7 linked regions of the Macaca fascicularis genome follow. The protein of the gene in region 3 interacts with the protein of the main gene of each other region in a pairwise test. Links are inferred from orthologs where the notes say so. Each region holds a gene or a part of one and is shown on either strand. Other genes may lie near its edges.

Region 1 (3,500 bases), on a different chromosome or scaffold from region 3:
ATTCCTCTCTGGGAAGTACCTTCAGAGACTTTACCACCTGCAGGGAGAAGTGGTGTCACACAGAAGTCCCATTTCTGTGACTCGACGTGTTGCCACTTTGCTTGGTCACCCATCTTTTTCTTCAGACGTAGCTCCAAATCACTTCTGCTTCTTTTTCAAAGCCAAGTACACTCTCGAAGGATGATGACATTGCTGTACTTGAGGAGATCTTAAAAAATGTGGTATAGAAGTGTTAAAAAGTATTAAAAATAAACTTTAAAAATATTCAGGGGCAGCATCATGGGAGTGATGCTCTTTCCAGGGATCCATTTTGAAGCACTTTTTTATATGTGTACAAAATTTGATATGTAAATTAAAATTTGATGTGTAAATTTAAATGTTATAATTTTATAGTGTGCTTTGTAATAATTCCTTTAAATAAACATTTCACGTGCCACTAACATATGATTTTGACTAATAAACAGTAGGATGTGTAACTTCTTGTTACTGATCTTTTAAGGATTCAGTTATTCTAAATCCTTTGTTAATTTTAATCAGAATTGCATGTAAATGTTTTAGGAACAACTGGAAACTTCCAGGAGGGAAATGATTGGGCTTCAGGAAAGAGATAGACAGTTACAATGTAAGAACAGGAATTTGCATCAGCTACTAAAGAATGAGAAAGATGAGGTGAGTTGTCAGTTACTGCTGATGAAGTTTAAGTGAATTTTTGTTTTCTTTGTAGTATGAGATGACCATAAGAGCCACTTTACTTGAAAAAAGAAAGAACCATTTATTCATCTTTCCCCAAATTGGTATGGTAGACCTTTGTGTATAGTATTTAACTGGAAGGTCAGGAACCCTCTCCACCACAGCCCCCGCCACCAGTGGATCCATTTGGCTTAGATATTAGTTCATAGCTGGTAACAGCCAGTGTCCTGGACTGCCCTTCCTGGACTCATGTTCACTGTCACTTTTTCTGAGGCACAAGAGTGCTTTAAATGCAGACCTTTTATTCTCTGCTGTACCTGTACGTGATAGCCGAGGTGCCCCTTCTTGCATGCACTGTCTTAAATACTGACATTGTTCATCTAGTCAAGCAGTTTCTTCATTAAATGGGCGCAGAAGCAGTTCACATTAAAAATCTAATTTCTAACACAAAAGATACAATTCTAATTTCTGCTTTAGTGGTTACTTAGCAGAATTCTAATTTCTACTTTAGTGGTTACTTGGACCTATAGCACGAATGCATTTCAAAATATTCTTTTTTCATTTTTGTAGGAAGAAACCATTATGTTTTTATTGCTCTAAAGTATGACCTCTGACCATTTAATAACTATAAAAATATAATAGTTTCAGTGTTTTATGTTGTTTGAACTATAATTAAAGACTTCTGAGGAGTGTATTTCTTTAAAGAACCCTGGAGTGGTTTAGATAGATTTGTTTTACCATATTTGTTTATTTAGTAGTATATTTAATAAGTAGGTAATTAGTATTTAAACTGTAAGCTTGCTTATACATGTTTCCTTGAGTTCACAGACAATTCTGACTAGATCTGTTGATTACATTTAAACGGTTTGAATACAGTTCATCTTCAGTAGGGATTAAGTTAATCATGTTAATCCCTAGCAGGGATTGGGAATGGCTTTATAAAAGAATAGGACATACTCTATCAGGGGCTGCCTGAGAAACTGTAATTGATCTGAACTTTGAACAGCAGTGTCTGGCACGTAATACATACTCAGCAAATATTTGGACTGGATTATTCTGCTGTTTGGACTTACTCTTATTTGAGAATTGTTTTTAATTAGAAAAATGAGCCTGCTTACCTGCTGCCATGTGCCACAGGCTTAATTCACTTTGTCACAGATTAACAAAAAGTATAAGTGATTTTTAAGTCAGTAATACAAGGAGTTCACTTAAAATGATCAGATGAATTCAGTTTATCTCAGATGAAGCTTTAATCATTTTAATACTTCCATAAGAATATCTGGTTTTTAAATGTTCAGAGTCTATATGTAAGGTAAAAGGTACAGGAGATAATTCAGAAAATTAGCACTTCTAGAAATTTCAGAATTAAGCTTTATATGATTCATATAATATTTTAAAAAGTGGTTTCTACTGGTTACAAATAAGGAAGAATCATCCTAGGATTTTAAAACCTATATGGGGAGATGAATTTTAGGATTTTTCTCTTTTGAATTTGTGAATTGTAACTGGGCTTATAATAGCAAATGCCTTTTTCAGGTACAAAAATTACAAAATATCATTGCAAGTCGAGCTACTCAGTATAATCATGATATGAAGAGAAAAGAGCGTGAATATAATAAACTGAAGGAACGTCTACATCAACTTGTTATGAACAAGAAAGATAAGAAAATAGGTAAACAGCTGGCAGCTGGCAAAGATCAGCTAAGGGAATAAATCAGCTAATACTATGCTTAGAAATAATTGTAAAAGGATTGAACACAGTAACTCGTGAAATGTTATTTTCATGCTTTATACAATTGCTTTTCGGTGGTGGTGGTTTATATAAAAAATTTAGACAGCTGGTTAGTGGAAAATAAGTCATTTTGCCTTGCTTTATTTAATTACATGTGTTTTTTAACATGACCAGTGTAGAATTAATCCATAGAGAAAAACTAAGCCAGAGGACATTCTAATTTTCCATATCAAAGAACTGATAATATTAAAAATCAGGGTCAGTTTCTGAGTGTCAAAATAGAGTAAACCTCATAAAATTTATCATCAGACCAAATCGTTCATGTCAGTTTGAGTTCCTTTAAATAAGTTTAGCTGTGCATTTTTGGAGAAACTAGTCAAAAGGATGGACTTTGAAAGTTAGGCATGTGTGTGTGTCTAAAGTATACTTTTTTGCTAATAGTAGGCTTTTTCAAAACGTTAAACCATTTCATCCAAATATGTGGATAATTTCAAGTAGATAGTGTAAATTAAAAAGCAAAGAAATATGAAAGTAGATCTTTAAAATACAGTTTTGCTGGCCTGGTATAAATACGAGACACAAGAAGTGTGTATTTATTTATTGAAGAGTGGTTTCCAAGTGACCATACGTAGTCCTCTAACATACATTATACCATGACACCCCTAAACTGTCTTACCTTAGATTTGAAAAACAGACGATGAGCATACGTTTCAGGCTGTCATGTGGTACACTCTGCCTGCTGTCAGCAAGCAGTTTAGTGTTGACTACATCGCTGTCATTCTACAGCAGAGCTGTTGGAGGTAGCCGAATACTTTATTTTTTAAATTATTGAAAAATAGAAATGAAGATTCAGTAATATGCAATTAAGATTGGAAAGCTTTAGGTATCCTGAGTTAATCTTACTCATTTGGAGAATCATTGGTTTTTAAGGTTAGTTAGCCTCATGTTCATTCATGAAGGAAAAACAATTAAAAAGCAGGATGAAATGCTGAAAGTATTGTTTTAAATTTATTTTATTTTATTATTATTATTATTATTTTTTGAGACGGAGTCTTGCTCTGTCGCCCAGGCTGGAGTG
Region 2 (3,373 bases), on a different chromosome or scaffold from region 3:
TGCGCTGCGTGTGGGACGGTGCGGCCCCGTGCGCTGCGTGTGGGACGGTGCGGCCCCGTGTGCTGCGTGTGGGACGGTGCGGCTGCGTGTGGGACGGTGCGGCCCCTGTGCTGCGTGTGGGACGGTGCGGCCCCTGTGCGTGGGACGGTGCGGCCCCTGTGCGTGGGACGGTGCGGCCCCTGTGCTGTGTGTGGGACGGTGCGGCTGCATGTGGGACGGTGCGGCTGCATGTGGGACGGTGCGGCCCCGTGCGCTGCGTGTGGGACGGTGCGGCCCCTGTGCTGCGTGTGGGACGGTGCGGCCCCTGTGCTGCGTGTGGGACGGTGCGGCCCCTGTGCGTGGGACGGTGCGGCCCCTGTGCGTGGGACGGTGCGGCCCCTGTGCTGTGTGTGGGACGGTGCGGCTGCATGTGGGACGGTGCGGCTGCATGTGGGACGGTGCGGCCCCGTGCGCTGCGTGTGGGACGGTGCGGCCCCTGTGCTGCGTGTGGGACGGTGCGGCCCCTGTGCGTGGGACGGTGCGGCCCCTGTGCTGCGTGTGGGACGGTGCGGCCCCTGTGCTGCGTGTGGGACGGTGCGGCCCCGTGCGCTGCGTGTGGGACGGTGCGGCTGCGTGTGGGACGGAACTTCCCCAGACGCTGTGTCGACCCTCGCAGTGCCCCAGGCCTTGCTCACACCCTTGTCTCTTGTAGTCTGCTCTGGTGTCACGGATGTGGGCTGTGACCCACTCGGTGGATTTTATGACCTTCTAAAACTGGGGTCTTTAACCTGGGGGCTCACAGGTTTCCGGGTACCTGGTTCTTCTGTATTTGTACAGAGGCTTTTTAGGGAGGGATCCACAGGCTTTGCTGGACCCAGCAGGGTTGGCAGGAGCTGGCACAGGAGTGGCATGGCCGCAGCCTGGTGCCTGTGGGCGGCCCCACCCTCTGTTGCATTCTCTTCACAGACCCACTGAGTGTGGATGGCACGGCCGGTGGTCTCGGTGAGCCTGCGGTGGCCTCTGATGGCCTCCCGTCCTCGGAGCCGGGGCCCTGTTCCTTCCGGCAGCCGGACGAGCCCCCCGCCGGACCCCCATCCCGTCCGCCTCCGGCCCTGGCCGACCCGGCCTCGTACCCGCCGGCTGTCGTCGCTCCGGAGGCAGACGCCGGCCCAAGGCTGGCTGTGGACTTCGCCCTGCCCGAGGAGCTGCCTCTCATCTCCAGCCGTGTGGACCTGAGCGGGGACCCGGAGGGGACTGTGGCCCCTGCGCAGGTGGCTTTGTCGGTCACCGAGTTTGGACTCATTGGCATTGGGGACGTGAACCCCTTCCTGGCCGCCCACCCCACGTGCCCGGCCCCCGGGCTACACTCGGAGCCCCTGTCACAGTGAGTGCCACCCCATGCCCGGAGCTTCCCCGACACTCCAGTGAGGTCCCCCAGCCCTCAGGCTGCGCTGAGGGTTTGCCCCAAGGACAGCGCGGCTCCACGAGCGGCTCTCGGGGCTGCTTTAGGGTTATTCTTGACTTGCATGTATTTTCTGACTGGAGAATACATTCGTGTGGTCCACATGCTCCACAAATAGGGGCAGGTGCCAGGCTCTCCCACCCCTGCTCCAGCCACAAGCTCCCCCCAGAGCACCCGGGCCCTGCTGCCGTAGGTTGTCGGGGAGGCAAGGCTGGGAGTCTCGAGTCCAGCGCTCAGCACTGGGCTGTGCAGGCATGTGGGGCCACCCTGACGCCCCGCGTCTCTCTCCGTGTCTTCCCTGCAGCTGTAATGTGATGACCTGCTGACTCCTGGCCGCGGGCGGCGTATGCGGCCCAGACTGGACTTGGCACTGCCGCTGGGCCCGCCTCTGTCAGTCTTCCTGACCCCTTCCCCCGCCCCGGGCCTCGGGGTGGCACCTCCTCTGCTTCTGAACACGTCAGGACTGGTGTGAGGTGGCTGGGCCGTGCGCCGTTGCCCCGGCCATGCAGACTGGACCCAGAGCCACACACAACGCCGTCAGCGCCCGGCACTGCCACCCGGGTCCAGGCTGCTGCCTGCATGTGGGATCCGTCAGGCAGCCGTGGACAGAAAAGACCCGGCCTTTGGGACTCGGGGCAGAGCCGGCCGCCTCGTCCCTTCCAGCCCGCAGAGGCGAGGGAAGGTGTCACTGCCCCGGCGGGGAGACGGGCAGGACGCCCCGCCCCGCACCAGCAGCCTCCGCCGGGGCACCCTCCGTTCCCTGCTTGGCTCTGTCTCTCCACACCTGGCAGGGCCGCGGGCTGCCCCAGCCCTGGGGGTCGTGGGCAGCTGCTACTCAGTGCCAACCCCGTGGGGCACAGAGCCATATACCTCGCTGTCCGGCCCCCAGCCCGGCCTCCCCTCCCACCCCGTCGTCTCCACTTCAGGAAAAGCCGCACTTTACACCCCCACCTGCCTCTTCCCCTCCATCCCTGTTCCCGATCCTGAGCGGTTGGGGTGGGGGCCCCTCAGCAACCCCAGGCGTGGGTTTGAGGAGACAGGTGACTTACACCCCCTTTGCTGTCCTCCCCTGGTACCAAGGCAGGGAGCCTCGAGAGGAGCTGGCCCTGCCGGCCGTGCAGGGGCCGGACTCCAGCCTGTTTCCCCAGCCCTGCAGGTCTTCCTTCTGTGGGAAGCTTCCCAGCAAGATGGCTTGGAGTCCTGGTCCCTCTTCCCCGACCCCTGTCCGTTTCTGTTTCTGTTTACACGTTGGCGTGGGGTCCTCCGTGGGCCGCGGCGTGCCCTGCCCCGGGCGTCGTCCAGCCTCCTGTGCTCGAGCCCCTTTCTGAGTTGGACTCGACCATCCCTCACCCCACCAAGGACCACACTGTGAAGTGATAACTGCCTTGAACCCCCCCTTGCTGTTTTATTTATTAAACTTGATTTGAAGCCCGGGGTGCCTGGTGGTGGGTTGGGTGGCGGCTGGGGTCGCCCGGGGTGCCTGGTGGTGGGTTGGGTGGGGGCTGGGGGCGCCCGGGGTGCCTGGTGGTGGGTTGGGTGGGGGCTGGGGGCGGCAGGTGTCCCTGTCATCTCACTTGGGGGCCTGCATGTCTGTTGGAGGATCCGGGATAAGTTGTGAGCCACAGAGGCGAGGGGGTGCAGTGGGGGCATGACGTGGTGGGCTCCATGTCCACGTCAGTGAGGGAACTGTGGCCATGAGGACGGGATGTGAGGAGGGCCCACGTCTGGGTAGAGGTGGTCGGCGCTGCCTCCTAGAAGTGACAGTTAAGCTGGAACCTGAAGGGGAATGGCCCTGCTTTGCTGGAAGTTTGCAGGGTCCTGGCAGGCGTGACAGCCGATGCAGAGGACAGAGGCCTGGGTCTACAGGAGAAGCTGAGGGCACAGAGGGCAGCGGCTGGGCGGGTTGGGGACAGTAGGGCATGAGGCTGAGAT
Region 3 (3,531 bases):
TAGTCCTAGCGCCTTCTCTTATTAACCTGTATGAGCTATGGAAAGTCCATTACCTACATTATTCCTGTGTTTCCTCCATGGTGCAGAGGCAGTTCTTGCCTGCCTGACAGGCCTGTTGTGAGGATTAGATAAAAGGAGAAAAATACACGTCAGGGCTCATGTACAATGTCTCACTCTTTAAGTGCCCACAAAGCATCTATTAATTTTGATAAAATGTAGAAACTTAAGGAAATTATTTTTGGTTTTTATTCCCATAGGATGTGATTATGGACAATCTTACTGTTTTGTTTTTTATGCTTTTCTATATTTGTGCATGTTTTTGAAATAAACATGAGTTAAAGACAAAACCACAAACTTCACAAATTTAGGAGTAATCATGAGTAGCGATTTTTCCCACCCCATTAGGGGAAACAGTTATATCTGTGTATACTGTAAAACAGAGAATTGTCTCATTCCCAACCATACTGCTTTGTTAAAATGATAACGTACACTTCCAGAAATGATTGTATCACAAGAATCTTTAATGTTTACTTTAAAGTTGACTCACGGTGGGGTTGTATATGTGTTTAGTAAAGTGTGCCAAGTGCTCTCACATTGAGACCAGTCCAGTTCAAATTAGTTTACGCCACGAGGATGTTTTCAGTCCCCAGCAAGGTCATGAGGGCCTTGACATTTCTTGGTTAGGCCGGCTTTGCTGGTGAGTTTTTCCAAACTCTGCAGGAGCAGTCTACCCCAACACACATCTCAGTCCCATGTAAATTAATAAGATGGAAACGTTCTCAATGTACTTCATCAGTTTAGCACGTCTCTGATACAAAAATCCAAGAAAGGTACCACAAAAGCGAAAGCACCAACCAAGCTTACATATAAACAAACATGCATACATCCTAAATACTACACAATAGTACCCAAATGAATACAACATTGCATTAAAGGTATAAAAGCACTGTACTGGAAACGTAAAAGTTACACGTGAATACTGCACTGTAAATCCTGAACACTCTAATGACCCACCCCCACCCTTCCACAGCCCTGGTGAGGATCAGAAAGCATTCATCTGCCTCCAGACTTGGCTAGTCCTCGGAGACACTGCTGCGAGGGCAGTGGGCAGCGGGATTAGCCTCCCGCAGAGCTCTGGCCTCCTCTAGAGCCTCTCTGTATCGGGAGGGCCAGGCCTGGGGGTCTTTCTTAAAGACCCTGGCCAGGAACTCCATGATTTGCAGCTTGGTGATTTCGCGGCTGGCCCGGGAGCCCCAGAAGAACTCGTACTCGGGCGGCTCCACGTACGGGACGCGCTGGTACTTCAGGTAATTCTGCTGGACGAACTCCTCAGTGATGAGCTTCCGCACGTCCCCGAAGGTGGAGTGCTTCTTCCAGGGCCGCAGCCCCAGGATGCGGAGCACGTTCCAGACCGCGCTCTCTCTGGCGCCGCGGCCCTTCACGTAGATGAGGCTCAGGATCATGAGGAGGAGACCTGTCATGGGCATGCGGTTGCTCAGCGCCACCCTGTCCAGCTCCTCGGGCTCCAGCGCTTTGACCAGCGCAAACTCCATGGTGTGCAGGCTGGTTAGCCTCAGGTGCAGCCCGAACACCCGGGCGAGGATGAGGCTGGTGCGCCGGAGGATGCTCCTGCACCACTTCTTGTAGCTGCCGATGACATCTTTCACCATGTCTGGAAACCAGATGATCATCTTCTTCTGGTCCTTGACCAGCACGTACCACATGAGCTCGTGCGCCTTCTGCACCAGCTGCGCCGGGGCTGGCGGGGCCGGGCCGGGCTGGGCCGCGCTCGGGGCCTGGTGGGCGCGGCCCTCCTCCGCGGCCTGCTGCAGGGCCTTCGGGTCGTCCTCGTCGCTCGGGGCCTGGGGAGGCTGCGCGGCCTGCGGGGCGGCCGTCGGGCCTAAAGGAGGGCTCTGCGGCTCTGCCAGGGTCTCGGACGGAGGAACCCCCTCCGGAACCCCAGGGCTGCTGTGCACCTCGGAGCTGGGGGCCTCGGCTGCAAAGTTAGGGTCGCTTAGATCCTTACTTTGTTCTGACATATCTGCGCCGTCTGGCAAGGGCAGGGCCTCTGCGTCCAGGAGCTCTTCAAGCCTGCGCTCCCTCCGCGGATTCCTGGAGAGGAAGTGCGCGTTGCTGTGCGCGGCGCCTTCCGCAGCGGCGGGCAGGGCGGGGCGGCGGCGGGACGCGGCACTGCGCCTGCGCGACTGCGGCCTTGGCCAGCGGCTGGGGGCGGGCGGGGCAGCGCGGAGCCCCGACGGGGAGGGTCCCTGGCTAAGCTTCACCTGCGGAGAGAGCGATCCCGGGGTTTCCCGTTTGGGCTGAGGGGATCTAGGGCAGGAGAAGAGTGCGATGGATGCGTACTGGAGAAGGGGCCAGTTTAGGAGAAAGATGATAACTTAAGTTTTTGGGATGTTGGGGTCAAGTTTCTTGGGAAACGCTTACCTGATATATCCAGAATTAAGTTAAATATGAGCGTCCCAGAGAAAGGTCTGGGCGGCTGTGTAAACTTGAGCTTTATGCGAACGAGTGAGAGGAACAGTCGGGCTTGTCCAAGAAAATGTGTAAAGTGTATGTCTGAGGTTGGAATCCTGAGAAATTCCAATAAAAAATGATTGACTCCCTCCCTACCAAATCAGAGGGGTTGTAAGAAAAGGAGAAATGCAGCGTGTCCTTAACGTAATTTCCTGTCAACCCATGTGAACTATGAACCTTTTAAGTAGGCAGCGGACTTAGAGCATCATTAATGCTTTAGTGGGCATAAATTTGGGTTTTACATTTCCTTTGGGTCACTTTGATTCCATTTTATTTTTTTCCATACTTAGTCCATAGCAGAAGGATTGCTATATCTTTTAGCACAAACTTGTATGATAATGTCTTTTTCCCTCTGCCCAGCACCCTTATTCTCCGATTCACCTTCTCCCAGGACCCTCTCTGAAGCTACTGAGTCCTCCACGTTGGAAGCCACACCCAAGTCCTTCCTGAGATTTAAAAAAAAAAACAACTAGGTCTCATAGGTAATATCTGGTAGTGTCTCTGAGATGACCCAAGGGTAGCAGGGGCAACATGGGTAACCCTGTTTTCCAAGTATAGAAGACAGATTCCCACTGGGCAAAGACAAAACTCGCTCCTACAGGCTCTCCATGAAAAAAGGGTCATTGGTGGAGCCTCTGAAACCAAGGGCCTTGATGCTGCTTCAGCATCCTTGGTCTGGGCTGATGTGGTCCTTCAGCGCTTCCAGGGTTTCTTCTCATCAGTAGCTTCTTAAATATGTTGAGTCTAATTATTGCCACTCGAAGCCAAAAGCACATTTAAAAATTGTCTTAACATGTCTAGAGTCCTCGCTGTGAGTATATATCTTTTCCCACTTGTCACTTTATTTTTCCTCAAGCAGGTTGATGTTGAAGGGTTTTCTGTGCTCTCTCTCTTTGGGTTTGCATGCACATAACACTTTTGGCAGAGCCATTCCCACACCAGTCCTTCCAACAGGCTCTTTAGCTTCCCACTTCACCAGGGTAATTCCTAGATATCAGT
Region 4 (4,102 bases), on a different chromosome or scaffold from region 3:
AAGTGCTGGGATTACAGGTATGAGCCACCGCGCCAGGCAAAAAATAATATTATTAATAATAAAGATCCAGGCCGGGCGCGGTGGCTCACATCTGTAATCCCAGCACTTTGGGAGGCCGAGGTGGGCGGATCACGAGGTTAGGAGATCGAGACCATCCTGGCTAACACGGTGAAACCCCATCTCTACTAAAAATACAAAAAAAATAGGCGGGCGTGGTGGCGGGCGCCTGTAGTCCCAGCTACTCGGGAGGCTGAGGCAGGAGAATGGCGTGAACCCGGAAGGCGGAGCTTGCAGTGAGCCGAGGTTGCACCACTGCACTCCCGCCTGGGTGACAGAGCAAGATTCCGTCTCAAAAAAAAAAAAAAATAATAATAATAATAATAATAAATAATAAAGATCCAGAGGCCTTTTATTGTCATGTTTGAGAACTTATGTACCTGGCATTGTAGACACTGGGGTAAGGCAGGGAAGAAAACAAACAGACAAAATCCTTTCGTTTTCGTGATGGGGGGAATGGGAGCTTGAAGCCATTTTAGAAAAACTGGAAGTGACTCAATGGGGCAGGATCGGAGAGAACCAGGAGAGCGCATCAGGCAAGGTCGTGAGGGGCTTTGTGGCAAAAGGAAGGGGTTTGAAGTTTGTCTTCGGGGAGGAGGGGTAGGAAGCCATGAACAGCAGCGGAGGAGTCATCTTGTTGGAGCGGGGAAGAAGAGAGGTGTCAGGAGACCCAGGTAGGACCACCAGAGGACGCGTTGAGAAAACTCGAGGATTAAGAAGGGGCCGCGGGGTAACGTACGGGGGGCGGGAGAAGCGCAGCAAGGGGGCGGGGCTGCGATCGCCTAGGCAACGCGGGCCGCGTCACACCATTGGCTGGCCTTTCGGTACGTCATCCCCCGCCCCGGCGTCCGCCCTCGGAACCCCGGGGGCGCGACCTCCTCCGGTTGTTCGGCCCCGCCTGCCTGGACCTCCCGGAGCCAGAGGGTATGCCAGCCCCTCTGGCTCCGCGGTGGGGTCCAGGCCTGGCAAAAAGGGACTGCAGGGAGTAGTGGTGACGATCTTGGAGCGAGGACCGTAGCCCAGTGGAAGGAAGCGGTTCTCTTGGACCAGCCGCCCTCCACCCCTGGAGGCGCTGCCCCGCCCCCTGCCAGTTGCACTCCTTTAAATGGCCCGGGGCGCTAGGGAGGGGTGGGCGGGTCCGGCGTCTCCGGGCAATGGTGGATGGCTCCGCCCAGCCAATCGACGCCCCGCGGCGGGCGGGACTCCAGCCAATCGCGGCTCGCGGCTCGGCTCCGGGGCGGGGCTGGGTGGGCCCGAAGCCAGACGGAGAGGCCCTGCCGAGGTGAGCGAGGCCCCGGCCGGTCACTGGTGGGTCCCGGCACTGGCGGGTCGCGACGCTGTGGGCGTTCCAGGAGGTGGTCGTGGCAAACCTGGCAGCTGGGGTGAGGAGTGGTCGCCTGGCTTGGGAATTTACCTTAGGCTGGAGGAGGGAGAGGCGCGCCCCGGAGACTTGCGGAGGCGGGGTCTGGGTGAGACCGGGGGAGGGGGCCTCAGATTCAGGGTGATGATAGGGAGGGTCTGGGGGCCCGAGACTGAGTTCGAGACCCAGGAGGGGATGCGAGGTTGTTGGGGCAGTATTTTCAAGTGGAGGGAGTTTGAAGCTGGGACGTGGGGCGTGGGGCGTTTGGAGAAGCGAGAGAACAGAGGGAAGGAACTTTTGAGACAGGGAACCTGGAGATTCGATTCCACTTGGGTCTTCCGGACGGGTTGAATTCGGGGCTTTATCGTGTTCTGGAAAAGGTGTGAGAGGTTTGGGGCTGAGATCCTGAGTATTTGGAGAAGCGAGAGAGCTAGGGTCAAGGATTCTTGGACTCCAAGACGCACTGGCGGGGGAAGGGAGGATGCCGGGAAGAGTTCAATGTTCGGGTCTTGGAGCCGGGCAGCGAGTTTAGAGGTGTAGTCCAGGGGCGTTTGAAAGTCAGGAGAATAGGGGAAGTGGGAGGAAGTATCAAAATTAGGATACGTAGTCTCGCGAACTAGATCGCAGCATTGTCGTCTTTGAGCGATGTGTTCGGATCTGGGTCTCTGGATCCAAGGGCAGTTTGGGAGGAGAATCCCGGACTTTCAAGGCACGGAGGGACAGGGAGAAAGCAGATTTAGAGCCGGAGTCAGGGGTGGGGGAGGGGTGTTCCGGGCATGGAGCTCAGACTCGCCGCCCCGGAGGCAACGGAGGGCGGGGCTCGGTGGGCGCCGGCAGCTGGACGTCCGGGTTCCCTTCCCCCACTCGCTTGTGCCACTGTGCGCATGCCCTGAGGGAGAGCGGGGTCGGGGGAGGGGGGCTCGTCCCCTGGACGGGCGGAGCCCTCTGGGGATTGTAGTGCGTGCTCGACGTCGGTTCGTGTACCTGGCGGCTGTTGGCCCCCGTTTCCCAGAAGCCCCTGGGACAAATTGGGGCGTTCCTGGATGCTCTCTAAAGACCCATGGAGGGGCGGGGCCTTGCAGTGCCGAGGTCTGATTGGGCGGGACCCCCCTAGGGGGCGGGGCTTGGTCTGAGCTGAGTTCTAGCAAGTTTTCCTGTGGGGCGCGCTTTGGGGGAATCTGAAAGCGCGGGCAGAGGGAATGAGGCCCCTTTCCTACTCTTGGGAGCGCTCCCAGTTGGTTAAGGAAGAGGACATGGAAATATCCTGACTGTGAAAGAAGAATCTTAACATAGGTGCCCCAGCAGGGACCCAGGAAGTTCGAATATAGTAGGCACTCAGTAAATCTGTTGAGCGTATAACTGGCAATTAACTCTTGATCGAGGCCGGGTGTGGTAGTAATCCCTACTCAGGAGTAATCAGCTACTCAGGAGCTGAGGCGGGAGGATCGCTTGAGCCCGGGACTTCGAGACTTCGGTGAGCTGTGGTAGCGCTGCTGCACTCAGCCCCGGGCGACAGAGCGAGACCCTGTCTCTAACAAAAAAAAACAAACACGGCCGGGCGCGGTGGCTCAAGCCTGTAATCCCAGCACTTTGGGAGGCCGAGACGGGCGGATCACAAGGTCAGGAGATCGAGACCAGCCTGGCTAATACGGTGAAACCCCGTCTCTACTAAAAAATACAAAAAACTAGCCGGGTGAGGTGGCGGGCGCCTGTAGTCCCAGCTACTCGGGAGGCTGAGGCAGGAGAATGGCGTAGACCCGGGAGGCGGAGCTTGCAGTGAGCTGAGATGCGGCCACTGCACTCCAGCCTGGGCGACAGAGCGAGACTCCGTCTCAAAAAAAAAAAAAAAAAAACACAACTCTGGTTCATTAAGCACTTCCTGTGTGGTGGGCCCTATAGATACGTGGCATCTCCTTAGACAGAGGTGGTGAGAAGTATTTTTTTTACAGTCCCCATTTTACAGATGAGGAAACTGAGGCCTGAGAATTGACTCAGGTCACTTCCCACGATCACGCAGCTGAGCAGTTTCCAGTACAGAAATCAAATTTGGGGTTCCCTAGTTCCAATCCAGGTCTCTCTGCTCCACACCTGTCTTTCGTGCTCCATGTTTGAAGAAATTAATATTGTGGAAGAACAGTTTTAAGGCTCAGAGGAACTTGTTAGGATCCGTATTTGGCAGATGAGGAAATTGATTCTCATGGATGTAAATTCACTGTTTGAGGCCACAATAGGCAAGTAAGTGGGATTTAAATCTAGCTGTACTTAAGTCCAGATCTTATTTTCTTAATCACATATGTATTCACCTCCTTAACCTTGTAGGATTCAGACAGCCTTCATTTTATAGATGAGTAAACCGAGATTCAGATGATTAAAAATCACCAACAACTCAATAGGCCTGAAAAAGTGGGATTTGAGCCAGCACTACGGTGTCTGGTGTCTGACATGCCCCTATGCCCCTCTTCTCTCTACAGGGCATCATGGTGGGAGGCTTGAAGAGGAAACACTCTGATTTGGAAGAGGAGGAGGAGAGGTGGGAGTGGAGTCCAGCAGGCCTTCAGAGCTACCAGCAAGCCCTGCTCCGCATCTCCCTAGACAAAGTCCAGCGCAGCCTGGGCCCCCGAGCACCCAGCCTCCGCAGGCATGTCCTCATCCATAACACCCTCCAGCAGCTGCAGGCTGCACTTC
Region 5 (3,500 bases), on a different chromosome or scaffold from region 3:
ATACAGGCATAGCTTTTAATCTAGAAAAGTTTCTGGGCTCCAGGATGGAATAAGAAAAGGGAAAGATTATTGGGAAAGAAAGAAGCTAGCACTTTTTTTGTTCTCTTTGTTTTCTGTCTCTGCCACCAGAATGCCCTGTCTCTGAAGGCTAAACAAGGACTTTGTTTATTATCTATTTTCTCTTTTTGTGAATTGGTTTCTCCACCTCTATAATCCTAGCACCTAAAACAAGTGCCTGGCATGCAAGTGAGTTTAGATGGAGCAAGTTCACCAAACACATTCTCATATAAATGTGCAGAAACAGTAGCAACTTTGAAACCTTTATCTTAGTAGCCTTCTCCAGTTGCTGAAATTTACTGGCTGCCTCATGGTTCTATCCTCAGCTCGTCGTCAAGGTGCACATGGACGACAACGGCACAAAGTCACTGATGGTGGATGAGCGGCAGCTAGCCCGAGATGTTCTGGACAACCTTTTCGAGAAAACTCATTGTGACTGCAGTGTAGACTGGTGTCTTTATGAAATCTACCCGGAACTACAAATTGGTAAGTCCCATCCGCAGCAATGGGCTGTACTCCAAAAACCTTGTGGGTTTGCTGTATTACGGGCCTGGGTTTATTCTTTTTTTCTCTTTAATTTTACATAGAAAATAGACACGGGGTCTCACTATGCTGCCCAGGCTGATATCAAACTCCTGCGCTCAAGCAATCCTCCCACCTGGGCCTCCCAAAGTGCTGGGATTACAAGCGTGAGCCACCATGCCTGGCCTGGTTCTTCCTTGAGAAGACTTTGGTTCAAGGCTTTCACTTCCCTTATATGAGATTTAGTGCTCGACTCTTCATTTTGTTGTAGTGAAGAGAGTTGGATTCTAGCAGGTGGTGGCCAGACCTTGGGGGATATAAGCATTATTACTGCTGCTTCTCTAGTGGTTCCATTTGGGAAAGAAAGCGACTGGATGATACTGACTAAGATACTGCATGGTTAATAAGCTGAGCAGGTGGCAGAAGAGGCTGGGTATCTGTCGGCTAATGCCTCTTTAGTGGTTGCTTCCTTAACCGACCATAACCCTGCCACAGTCTCCCACCAGTGCTCATTTCCCCCTCCTCCCTCCCCACTTGCTTAATCTCTGACACTTTGTCTTGTGGAAGAGGCTCAGCCTCAGAGTGCAAAGAACAATTGGTAGAAATTGGTGGAATTTTTCAAAAGCGGAAAAAAGGTTAACTGAAGATATACTGTTACTTCTCATTCTAGGTAGTGGTGGTGGTGGCGTTGAGACAGGGTCTTGCTCCATTACCAAGGCTACAGTGCAATGACGCAGTCATGGGTCACTGTAGCCTCAGCTCCCAGGCTCAAGCGATCCTCCTGCCTCCGCATCCCGAGTAGCTGGGACTATAGGCACACATACCACATTTCTCATTTTTAATAATGGGACAGTCGTCCCTCAGGAGAGCTGGGTGGGACAGAATTGCCTGTGCTGGAAGCTTTAGGAGCAATTTTTTTTCTGGATAAAATGGTTTACACTAAAACAGTCCCTTGAAGTTGTCTTCAGTTCTATGTGTCAAGGGAAGAAATGAAAGCCTTTCTTTATGTTTTAATTCAAGCATTCACACGTTGCTTTTAGAATGTTAAGGAGTGATGTTTTGGAGTACACACTGTGACTCTCACAATTTCATTCAAAGTGTTCCACCAGTCATTGACTGACTGTCCACCTCACGTAGAATGTTTGCCACCATCTGGGACTATTTAAGGTAAAAAATGTCGGTATGAAAAAAGTATGTCTCCGGGTACACTGGCATATGCCTGTAGGCCGAGCTACTTGGGAGGGTGAGGCAAGAGGATTGCTTGAGCCTTGAGCCTGTGAATAGCCACTGCACTCCAGCCTGGACAACACAGTGAGACCCCATCTCTTAAACAAAATGAAAGAAAAAAGTGTGACAGCTGACCATTGTCACTGTGTTATGGGTTTTTTGTTTTTTTTTTTTTTTTTTTGAGATGGAGTCTCGCTCTGTCGCCCAGGCTGCAGTGCAGTGGCCGGATCTCAGCTCACTGCAAACTCCGCCTCCCAGGTTCACGCCATTCTCCTGCCTCAGCCTCCCGAGTAGCTGGGACTACAGGCGCCCACCACCTCGCTCGGCTATTTTTTTATATTTTTTTTTAGTAGAGACGGGGTTTCACCGTGTTAGCCAGGATGGTCTCGATCTCCTGACCTCGTGATCCACCCGTTTCAGCCTCCCAAAGTGCTGGGATTACAGGCTTGAGCCACCGTGCCCGGCCTGTGTTATGGGTTTTTTCATCTTGTTTTTAATGGAAGATAACTTGAAGACAATGAAAGATAAACATAATAGAAATATTACAGTGTGACATCATGTGAGAATTATTAATAAGAATCCTAGGCACCTGATGAAACTCATGAAGATTAACTCAGTAATAGCTTGCTTCTCACTTGGAACCCCTGATGTCTTGGGTCTGAAAGAATACCTTTTCTTATTTCATCAGAGAGGTTTTTCGAAGACCATGAAAATGTTGTTGAAGTCTTATCAGACTGGACAAGAGACACAGAAAATAAAGTACTATTTTTGCAGAAAGAGGAGAAATATGCTGTATTTAAAAACCCCCAGGTAAGATGACCTGCATATTATTAAACCCTATAAAGTATGAAGGATTTTCTTTTTTAAGACAGAGTCTCACTCTGTCGCCCAGGCTGGAGTGCAGTGGCATGATCTTGGCTCACTACAGACTTCGCCTCCCAGATTCAAGCAATTCTCCTGCCTCAGCCTCCCCAGTAGCTGGGACTACAGGCATGCACCACCAGGCCCAGCTAACTTTTTTGTATTTTTTAGTACAGACAGGGTTTCACCATGTTGGCCAGTATGGTCTCGATCTCCTGACCTCGTGATCTGCCCGCCTCTGCCTCCAAAAGTGCTGGGATTACAGGCATGAGCTACTGCGCCCGGCCAAGGATTTGTTTTAATGTCACCTGTATACTAACCACACCATTCATTGTCTCACAAAATATTACAAATATATTATTTTCAAATAAACACAGACTCAGCTCTTAAGCTGTATGTAAGTTAACAGCCCTTTGAAGGATTCAGAAAGAGAAGAATCCATTTTGCTTTTTTTTCATTCCAAATCCAAAATGTATCTCTCTGTGGTTGTCTGATTCTCTTCTGTCCCTGTTTCTGTGTGGCTGTATTAATCCGATATATCTTCATGCACTCACTGTTGGTTCTTCCTGCTTCCTGCTTGAAAGATGCTCTTTTCTTTGTTGTTTGTATTTGGTGCTTATATTTGCCAGGAAAACTAAAAGGACCACCTGGAAAATGTGCAAGTTACTGTGATTTCGTTACAAACAATTTGTGCAAGTAAAAAGCATAAATTTATATGTGTTCTTTTTTTCATATTTGTTCTTCATATTTGAAAATGCTTCCTTCAAGTCATGTGTACAAGGATTTCCAGGCTTTTTCCCAACTGAGGCCTCGAGCAACTATAATTGTGTGAG
Region 6 (4,091 bases), on a different chromosome or scaffold from region 3:
TTTTTTGTATTTTTAGTAGAGATGGGGTTTCACCATGTTAGCCAGGATGGTCTGATCTCCTGACCTCGTGATCCACCCCCCGCGGCCTCCCAAAGTGCTGGGATTATAGGCGCAAGCCACTGTGCCCGGCCATCGAAGAAGGGCTTTTAAATTACAGCCTGTAACTTGTTAATCACTTAGAAATAAAACATGAAAACCAAAAAGGAATCAGTTGACTTTAAGTGCAAAACAAGGAATTCCAAAGAGCAATTTAATAAAACTGTCTACTTTCATAGCTGTAAAAGGCAATTAAGTTCCAATCTATGTAAGAATTCGATCCCAAAATAAAAGTTTGAAGTGTATTAAATCCATTCCTTTGATAATCATTTTCTACCATGTAGGAAGCACTGTTTGTTCTAGGTGGTAAGTCTCAAAGTCCTTATTCTCTTGGTGCTTACATTCGAGAGGAAGACAGACTAAAACAATACGTATGAAATAAATGTTAGATAACAGTAAGATTAACAGAGGAACACATGGAGAGCATAGGGGGCTGCAATTTTAAGAGTCGTAGAATGTTTCCTACATTGTTAAAGTGAGTTCAAAAGTGCATCACTTCTAATGAGGAAAACTGAAATCGGTTAGCAAGATAAACATCAAAGATTAAATGAAATGGCCGGGAGCAGTGGCTCACGCCTATAATCCAAGCACTTTGGGAGGCTGAGGCGGGCATATCACCTGAGGTAAAGAATTCGGTATCAGCCTGGCCAACATCGTGAAACCCATCTCTACTAAAAATACAAAAACTAGTGAGGCGTGGTGGCAGCCGCCTATAGTCCCAGCTACTCAGGAGGCTGAGGCAGGAGAATCGCTTGAACCCGGGAGATGGAGGCTACAGTCAGCTGAGATCTCGCCATTGCACTCCAGCCTGAGTCACAAGAAACTTCATTTCAAAAAAAAAAAATTAACCTATTTTTAACATTTTTTAAATCACTATCTCATTATAGCTTTATTATTTTTAAAATTTCTAAGGGGGTTTATGATCCAAAAGAGTTGGGAAGTACTGTTATATTATTATCTTTAAATTTTTTCTGGCTACTCTGGGCACACTCTCTATGGGGTGGTCCTGCACCACAAGTGGCAGTAAAAAAATTTTTCTTTATATTTTGAAATTTGTACCTATGGATTATATTGAAATTATATTATTATTAAACTGACCTTGGACCTTATGTGGCTCAGACTCTAGATCAGCAGTTCTCACAGAACGAGGAGCCCTTTTGTCGCTAAGGGGAACATCTGGCAATGCCTGGAGACATTTTTGGTTGCCATAAATGGGAAGGAGGGTGCCACTGGCATCCGGTGGGTAGAGGTTGCCGAACTTAAAATTCACAAGACAGCCCTCCACATCAAAGAAGTATCCCACCCCACAAGCTGCAGCCGAAAAATTCTAGGTTAGGCAGACACATGGCGAACACCAACGGTAAGGTGGACGCCCTCTATAGAGAAGCACCATTCACGCCCTGGGATCAGAGTGGAGGGCCTGAGTGGGGAGAGGAGTGAAAGAGCAGGTGGAGTTTCAACTCGACCTGAAGGAAAGGTAAGGATGAAGAGTGAGGATTTCAGAAGAATGGAACAGCCTGACCAAAGGGTCGGACACGTTGGCTTGCAGCGTAAGCAGGGATTAGCCGGCTTCTCATGGGCTGTGGTTAGTCTCTTTTTGTATAAAATCACTCAATTTCCATGTTACCAAATTTACTTAGGGCAAAACCACCATACTATAATTTCCACATTCATTCTTGTGTGAAATTAGGTTAAGACAGCGGAAAAAGCATTAACCTAGGAGCCATCCCAGACTCCAGTAAACCGCAGGCGAGCGAGACTCCCTCTACGAATGGGTAAGGCCTAGATATTCTCCAAATACTTTTTATAGATTGCTGTATGATTCTACCCTTAATCCAATGTATGTCCAGAAAAGGGCCAAAGGTTTTCATTCTCTTTTCATCTTTGAGTCCCCCTGCCTCAAACAGTTCCTTCCGTATCGCTTTCCAGAATTCCATTTATCCTGTTTTTAAATTAACTTTAAAAAGGAGGTAACGCTTACAGTGAAATGCAGGTCGTAGGTGTGCAGTGCGACGTTGTGATGTACACCGCGTGTAACCACAACCCCCATCAGCAAGGCCTTCCTGTCTGACACGTGGCTCCCTCCAGGATCGTCCCAGCGCTTCTTCTGCACCTCCGAAGCTACTGGCTTCGGAGTAAAGGCAGCAGCAGTGAAGCCGTTTCGCAGTAAAGCCGCCCTCGTCCTAGTCTACTCCACCTCGCAGCCCCCGCACCCGGCAGGGTGCCCGCCTCAGAAGCCCCGGCGACAGGGCCCGCCGTCCAGGAGCGGACAGTCAAGCCTGGTCGGGTATTTCGCCAAATCCCTCCGCGAACTTCTGAGAGCAAAGATGGAAAGGACCGCAGGCCGAGTCCTGTTTCTACGCGGAAGGAAGGCCTCCACGCGCTGCCGCAGCCTAAGGGTTCACGTCCCCCTCAGCACCAAGGCCGCCTGAGGCCCGGGAGCCAACGTGCGCGGCCCAGGACGCGGCCCCTTCAGCGACCCGGACACGAGGCCCGACCGCGCCCAACCAGCAACCACGACCCATTCTCAGGCCGGCGCCAGCTCCTTCCCTCAGGCATCCGCCAGCCACCGCTAACTAAACTCTTCCGCTACCACCGCCCTGGAAAAAAGGTGAGAAACACATACACCAAACGCACCTAACCCAGTCCAAAACCCCTCAGCGGCGCGCAGCCAGCCCCACAGCTGCGCCGGAACCCGCCACTCACCAGCCGCGCGTGCGCAGTCGCCCAGACTCTCCGTGGGCAGTGGGAGGGGCTGGCCAGAGTCGCGCTCGCGCAGGCGCAGACCCTCCCGCCCAGGCGCTTGCGCAAGACAGGCCATCTCCCGGCAGCGTCTCAATCTCGCGTTTACTATCCTGGGGGTTGTCTCCATCCTGGAGTCGTTCCTTCACTTGTCTCATCAGCTGCCTCCAAGAATGGTGGCAAGAGATATTTAAGGCCCTCACAGGGCGCGGTGGCTCACGCCTGTAATCCCAACACTTTGGGAGGCCGAGGCGGGCGGATCACCTGAGGTCAGGAGTTCGAGACCAGCCTCACCAACATGGTGAAACCTCTCTACTAAAAATACAAAACTTAGCTGGGCGTGGCGGCGTGCGCCTTAATCCCAGCTACCCAGGAGGCTGAGGCGGGAGACTCGCTGGAACCCGGGAGGCAGAAGCCACACTGAGCCGAGATCACGCCGCAGCTACTCCAGCCTGGGCGACAGAGCAAGGCTCCGCCTAAAAAAAAAAAAAAAAAAGGAATTAAGATCCTAATTAAAGTTAAACCCACTGTTTTGCACTGAGTCACGTAGGTTTTCAAAGTCAAGGCTTCATTGGTCGATTGCTCAGTCTTTTAATCAAATCGTTGACTTTAAATGTTGATATCAAATTGAGGCTTTGGTAAAATTTAAGGGATTGGCGGTGCGGGGAGGGGAACCTTTAAAACTCGTTAGTCTTTCAGGGTCTTCAGTGTTGAGTCCGTTGATCAATATATATATTTAGACATCTAGCACCGTAAGTACGTACGATTTTCGTCAACAACACCTTAATTATCTGGCACATACAAGCACTGATTATTAAAAGGTTCCCTTACGTTTTAGCAGTTACCAAATTATAAGTGATACAAAGTATTTGTTTTCAATTCCCCAAGAAATCAATCTATATTATGCTCCTACCTCCCTTTCCTCCATTTTCTTTACCAATTTCATGATCTTGCTGAATTTTATATATTCTGCTGAGCAATGTGAAAATCCTTTCTGGTATAAGGTAAGGATATAAACTGTTCAGCTGGCAAATGATGCTATTCAGTAAGTAGTTCATGAAACACTAGGTTTATAACTTTGGATGTACCGTAATTTCCATTTTAAGAACTATTTCCAGTTTATAATAACCCATGCTACATTTTGATTTTGTTTTGAATTGATGACAAGTCTATTAACCAAATATTTCAAGATCAGGTGTATTCTGGAAAAGGAACAGGAAGAAAATATGTTTAAAAAAAAAAAAAAACTAAAA
Region 7 (3,996 bases), about 130 Mb from region 3:
GACCGGTGCAGCTGCAGGCCGCCGCCCTGGGCGGCTCGCGGCGGGAGGGACTGAGACCGGGGCAGCCCACAAGGGCTGGGCCGCGTCGCTTACCCAGATGCCGCCGCGGCGGCAAGCCGACTCCTCCGTGCAGGAGGGGCGGGCTCCCAAGCCGCGCACAGCAAGCGGTGGAGCCGGCTCACGCACCCCGCGGCTGGCTCTCGCGCGGCTTCCCGCGCCGGCAGCCCGCGATGGCCCCACGTGACCGCGTGTCTGGTAGCAGGGGAACGAGGGGCGCCAAGGCCAGGGTGTGCGTGCGTGCGTGCGTGCGTACGTGCGCGCCCTCCCGCCCGCAGCCGGGCGGGGGTCGGCCCGCGCTCTGAGCGCTGCCGCTACAGTTCGCAGTCGTGACTCTGTAGGCGGAAGCACAGGGACGAGCCTGAGCGTCACAGGCTCCCCACAAACAACCGCGTGACCCGGGGACTTTCCCCAGGGTGTGCAAAAGCACAGGCACCCCCTCAGTTCTGGGGTGAAGGTGGGGGTGGGGAAGGATGCGCCCGCGTGTTCGCTGGGGAAGGGATGAGGGCGCGGGGCCAGGGAGGCCGAGCCGCGGGAGCCTGGGTGGAGAGGCGGACTGGGCGAGGTGGGGCATGGCGAGGGAAGTGACTCAGGGCCAGAGGCGGACAGGCCCACGGAAGGTGGGGTGGGGGGAGCGCGGGGACTAGGCGACCCTGAACCGACCGGACAGAGCGAGGTTTCCGAAGCACTCGAGGCGGACCGCGAGGGACGGCCCAGCTGCTGGGCCCAACGGGGCAGGGGTCTGACATCTGGACAGAGTGGGAAAACAGCCGCGCATACTGCCCTGGGGAGTCGGGAGGAGCCCAGTCACATCCAGCTGTGCAAACAGGAGGAGGAGGAGGTCCCAAGCCTACCCTTGAGAGAGGGGCGAGAGGGGTGGTCAAGCCGCCGCTGCCGCGACAGCCCCCGCGGTGCGGGTTGCGCCAGCCTCCTCGGAGCCCGACGCAGAAACTTGTTGCAACAAACAGGCGACCGCGGGTGCCCCTAGCAGCCAGCGGCAGAGTGGGTGGGCGGGCGAGAGGGAGGGGAAGGCTGGCGGACGCCGCAGCGAACTGGTGGGCAGACCCGGAGTCGCCGCGTAAGCGGGGCCGGCTCAGTGCGGTGCGGCAGGCGCGGCTGTGCGGCAGCGGAAGTCCTTTGTTGCAGCACAGTCCCTGGCAGAGCCAGAGCCTCTCCGCGCAGCCCAACCCGAGCGCCGAGCGCCGCCGCCACTGCAGCTCGCGGCCCCTTCGCCTCCGCCCGCCTTTGCCGTGGCTGATTTGCCTTAAACTCCCTAAAATCTCCGCAGCTCTGGTTCCTGCTGCGGCCGGTAAGTATTTGCCAGTTGTGGGGCTATTTGCGCAACTTTCGCCCGGGCCGGAGGGCGACGGGCCGCGGGCCTGGCGGAGTGCGGGGCCGGAGCGGCGCCGACCCGTGCGGGGAGCCGGAGCGCGGCGGACGCGTTGCAAGGACCCGGTGACGGGCGGCTGCCAGGCCGCCTGCTTGTTGCCGGCGCGTCAGGTCCCGGGCGTGCGGCCTCCCTGAGTCGGAGGCAAAGCCCTTACGGAGACTAGTTCCCAAATTAGTTACCTTCTTTTCTTTCTTTCTCTGCCTTTATTTTTTTCGAGGGGGGGAGGGGAGGTGTAGACGGGAGGCGGGAGAACCCGGTTGATTGACGTGCCTGGAGCCCGCTTCTCTCAACTTACAGCTGCGGCTCCGCGGCGGGTGGGAGGGGAAGTGTCCCGGAGCCCGAGGCTGCAGACTTGGGCGCGCTCCGAGGGAGGAGGCGTAAGAGCCGCAAATTCTTGCTACGCTGTTTCCCACCCCCTCTCGCCGGCACACACGCTTTTTGTTCAGTAAAAAGTGGAAGGTCTGAGTTTGGGAATTTTAAGTGGAAAAGATCTGTTTCCTGGGAAGGAAGTGCTTTCGCTTGCAGCGGTGGGCGCTTACTTAGAAGTTCGGTAAATATGTTGGATGCAGATCGGGAGTCGTTTACTACTAAAGTATGTAGGCAAGGTCTGAGCTCAGCCACCCCACCCAGTCTCCCTTTCTACCTAAGCAACGCGTGTACATGATCTGAAGGGTTGACATGACATTTTCTAAATTGGGCGCATCAGGAAGAGGTTGATGAAAATCCTTGACGTTTTCCGGGGATAGGACATTTGTATGTGTGTGATAATGTTCTTAAATCGAGTTTCAGTGTGGCGGTGCACGCAGATTCTTCATTGGTGTTAGTGTTTCCATACGGTATGTATCACTACAAGAACAGTGTTCCCTTTGACACTCGAACCCAAGGAATGGTCCGAGGCTTTTTGAGGCAACCTAGGATCAATGTCTTGAGTTGAAGTTGGAGGCACTCTGAAGCAGATTTGGTGAAGGATGCAGTTCTTGTAATTTACAGAGCAATCACAGTCTTCTTTGAAACGGAGAAATTAGATTCCATGAAATTTTATCAGTGCAGATAGATATGATGTGGAGAAACGGGGAAAATTGAGTACAAAAAGATGAGGCTTGAATGATGGCTGGCCATCATTTGCTCAGAACCTCAAAACTTTGCTTTTGAATCACTTGCTGGATATCTAATAAAGTCTCAATAATAACTGGATGACTTTGGGAGCTAGAAAGCGGCTTACTCCTCTTAAAGAAACAGGAAACTGGGCCGGACGCAGTGGCGCACGCCTGTAATCCCAAATGCCGAGGCGGGTGGATCACCCGAGGTCAGGAGTTCAAGACCAGCCTGGCCAACATGGCGAAACCCCATTTCTCCTAAAAGTACAAAAATTAGCCTGGCGTGGTGGCGGGCACCTGTAATCCCAGCTACTGAGAAGGCGGACGCAGGAGAATCGCTTGAACCCGGGAGGCGGAGGTTGCAGTGAGCCGAGATCGCGCCACTGCACTCCAATCTGGGCAACAAGAGTGAGACTCCGTCTCCAAAAAACAAACAACAACAACAAAAACCAGGAAACTGAAGCCTGGTGGAGGTGAAATGCTTTTACAAAGGTTAGTAGACACAACGTCTACAGTAGAGCCTTCAGTTAACCTCTTACATTCATTTTATGAGCAGTCTTTCTCCATTAATACCACATTTTCATGGTATTGAATAACTCGGGTAGAGCAGTCTTTCCTGAAGCCTTTCTATTCTTCCCACTCCTAATATGATGGCCTACTTTTTCGAGTTTTTTGTGGGGAAGGGACTGGTGTATCATTGTCAGAGAAAAGAGAAACCATATTTAACCAGGGCCTTAGCAGGGCATGAGCGCAGTCACAGCCACTTGCTCTTGACCTTGTGCTTTGATCTCACTTTAACACTTCTAAATTTTTGTACTGCTTCCTCATTCTCCTCTTTTGCCAGGCTCTGGGGAAGATATAGTTCATGGACCTTTTTAAGAGTATCTCGTTTTATTTGTAGCATCATTTCCCTTTCTAATGTGCAGGAGAAAAGAAGTACCTGCTTTCAGACTTGCCCTCTAGCCAGGAAAAGCACTAAGCCTTTGCTCTTCACCTTCTGGTGCAAAGGAGAGGAAACTGTTGATACAGAAATACAGAAAAATTCCCGTAGATTTTTGTTAATAAGCTGCAATCTGTTGTCTTCCCAAAAAATTGAGATATATTTGAGAAACATCTTCTTGAGAGGTCACTTTGGTCTCTACAGAATGTTTTCTCCTGACATTTTCTTCCGTGCTAGTATCTCATGCTAAAACGGAAATTGTTTTTTCTCATATTCTTATATGAACCAAATTAAGGGTTATTCATGTCTTTTTTCTCAAAATGTAAGTAATTTTTTATTATAAAATCCATGCTCTTTGTAAAAATTCAGCCTGTACTGAAGTATATAAAATACAAAAATGAAAGTCATTTTGACTCCCACTCCCCAGAGAGAATCACTGTGTACAGTCAATTCCTTGTTTAAAACCTGGTTACAGCTGTGCTGCTGTGTGTGCCTCACTCTGCCTGGGGATG

Evidence for each region.
Region 1: the proteins of NDN (region 3) and SSX2IP interact in a two-hybrid assay, tested with the Homo sapiens proteins (2 studies listed by BioGRID). The link is inferred for Macaca fascicularis from reciprocal best matches to the Homo sapiens genes NDN and SSX2IP.
Region 2: the proteins of NDN (region 3) and MIER2 interact in a two-hybrid assay, tested with the Homo sapiens proteins (2 studies listed by BioGRID and IntAct). The link is inferred for Macaca fascicularis from reciprocal best matches to the Homo sapiens genes NDN and MIER2.
Region 4: the proteins of NDN (region 3) and SERTAD3 interact in a two-hybrid assay, tested with the Homo sapiens proteins (2 studies listed by BioGRID and IntAct). The link is inferred for Macaca fascicularis from reciprocal best matches to the Homo sapiens genes NDN and SERTAD3.
Region 5: the proteins of NDN (region 3) and APBB1IP interact in a two-hybrid assay, tested with the Homo sapiens proteins (2 studies listed by BioGRID and IntAct). The link is inferred for Macaca fascicularis from reciprocal best matches to the Homo sapiens genes NDN and APBB1IP.
Region 6: the proteins of NDN (region 3) and EEF1AKMT1 interact in a two-hybrid assay, tested with the Homo sapiens proteins (2 studies listed by BioGRID and IntAct). The link is inferred for Macaca fascicularis from reciprocal best matches to the Homo sapiens genes NDN and EEF1AKMT1.
Region 7: the proteins of NDN (region 3) and ZBTB1 interact in a two-hybrid assay, tested with the Homo sapiens proteins (2 studies listed by BioGRID and IntAct). The link is inferred for Macaca fascicularis from reciprocal best matches to the Homo sapiens genes NDN and ZBTB1.

Annotation. Positions count from the first base shown.
Region 1 is NC_088375.1:149,985,519-149,989,018, forward strand, and holds part of SSX2IP (afadin- and alpha-actinin-binding protein), read left to right. Parts: intron 1-558; coding exon 559-669; intron 670-2,226; coding exon 2,227-2,362; intron 2,363-3,500. UniProt on the Homo sapiens protein: Belongs to an adhesion system, which plays a role in the organization of homotypic, interneuronal and heterotypic cell-cell adherens junctions (AJs).
Region 2 is NC_088393.1:868,137-871,509, reverse strand, and holds the end of MIER2 (mesoderm induction early response protein 2), read left to right. Parts: intron 1-945; coding exon 946-1,363; intron 1,364-1,745; coding exon 1,746-1,767; 3' UTR 1,768-2,873; downstream 2,874-3,373. UniProt on the Homo sapiens protein: Transcriptional repressor.
Region 3 is NC_088381.1:5,296,370-5,299,900, reverse strand, and holds NDN (necdin), read right to left. Parts: upstream 2,128-3,531; 5' UTR 2,040-2,127; coding exon 1,074-2,039; 3' UTR 501-1,073; downstream 1-500. UniProt on the Homo sapiens protein: Growth suppressor that facilitates the entry of the cell into cell cycle arrest.
Region 4 is NC_088393.1:47,545,587-47,549,688, reverse strand, and holds the start of SERTAD3 (SERTA domain-containing protein 3), read left to right. Parts: upstream 1-1,302; 5' UTR 1,303-1,339; exon of another isoform or gene 1,340-1,526; intron 1,527-1,670; exon of another isoform or gene 1,671-1,797; intron 1,798-2,580; exon of another isoform or gene 2,581-2,891; intron 2,892-3,488; exon of another isoform or gene 3,489-3,652; intron 3,653-3,888; 5' UTR 3,889-3,894; coding exon 3,895-4,102.
Region 5 is NC_088383.1:27,300,054-27,303,553, forward strand, and holds part of APBB1IP (amyloid beta A4 precursor protein-binding family B member 1-interacting protein), read left to right. Parts: intron 1-383; coding exon 384-543; intron 544-2,494; coding exon 2,495-2,616; intron 2,617-3,500. UniProt on the Homo sapiens protein: Appears to function in the signal transduction from Ras activation to actin cytoskeletal remodeling. Suppresses insulin-induced promoter activities through AP1 and SRE. Mediates Rap1-induced adhesion.
Region 6 is NC_088391.1:1,096,669-1,100,759, reverse strand, and holds the start of EEF1AKMT1 (EEF1A lysine methyltransferase 1), read right to left. Parts: upstream 2,801-4,091; 5' UTR 2,078-2,800; intron 1-2,077. UniProt on the Homo sapiens protein: Protein N-lysine methyltransferase that selectively catalyzes the trimethylation of EEF1A at 'Lys-79'.
Region 7 is NC_088381.1:132,326,036-132,330,031, forward strand, and holds the start of ZBTB1 (zinc finger and BTB domain-containing protein 1), read left to right. Parts: upstream 1-1,196; 5' UTR 1,197-1,366; intron 1,367-1,763; exon of another isoform or gene 1,764-3,036; intron 3,037-3,996.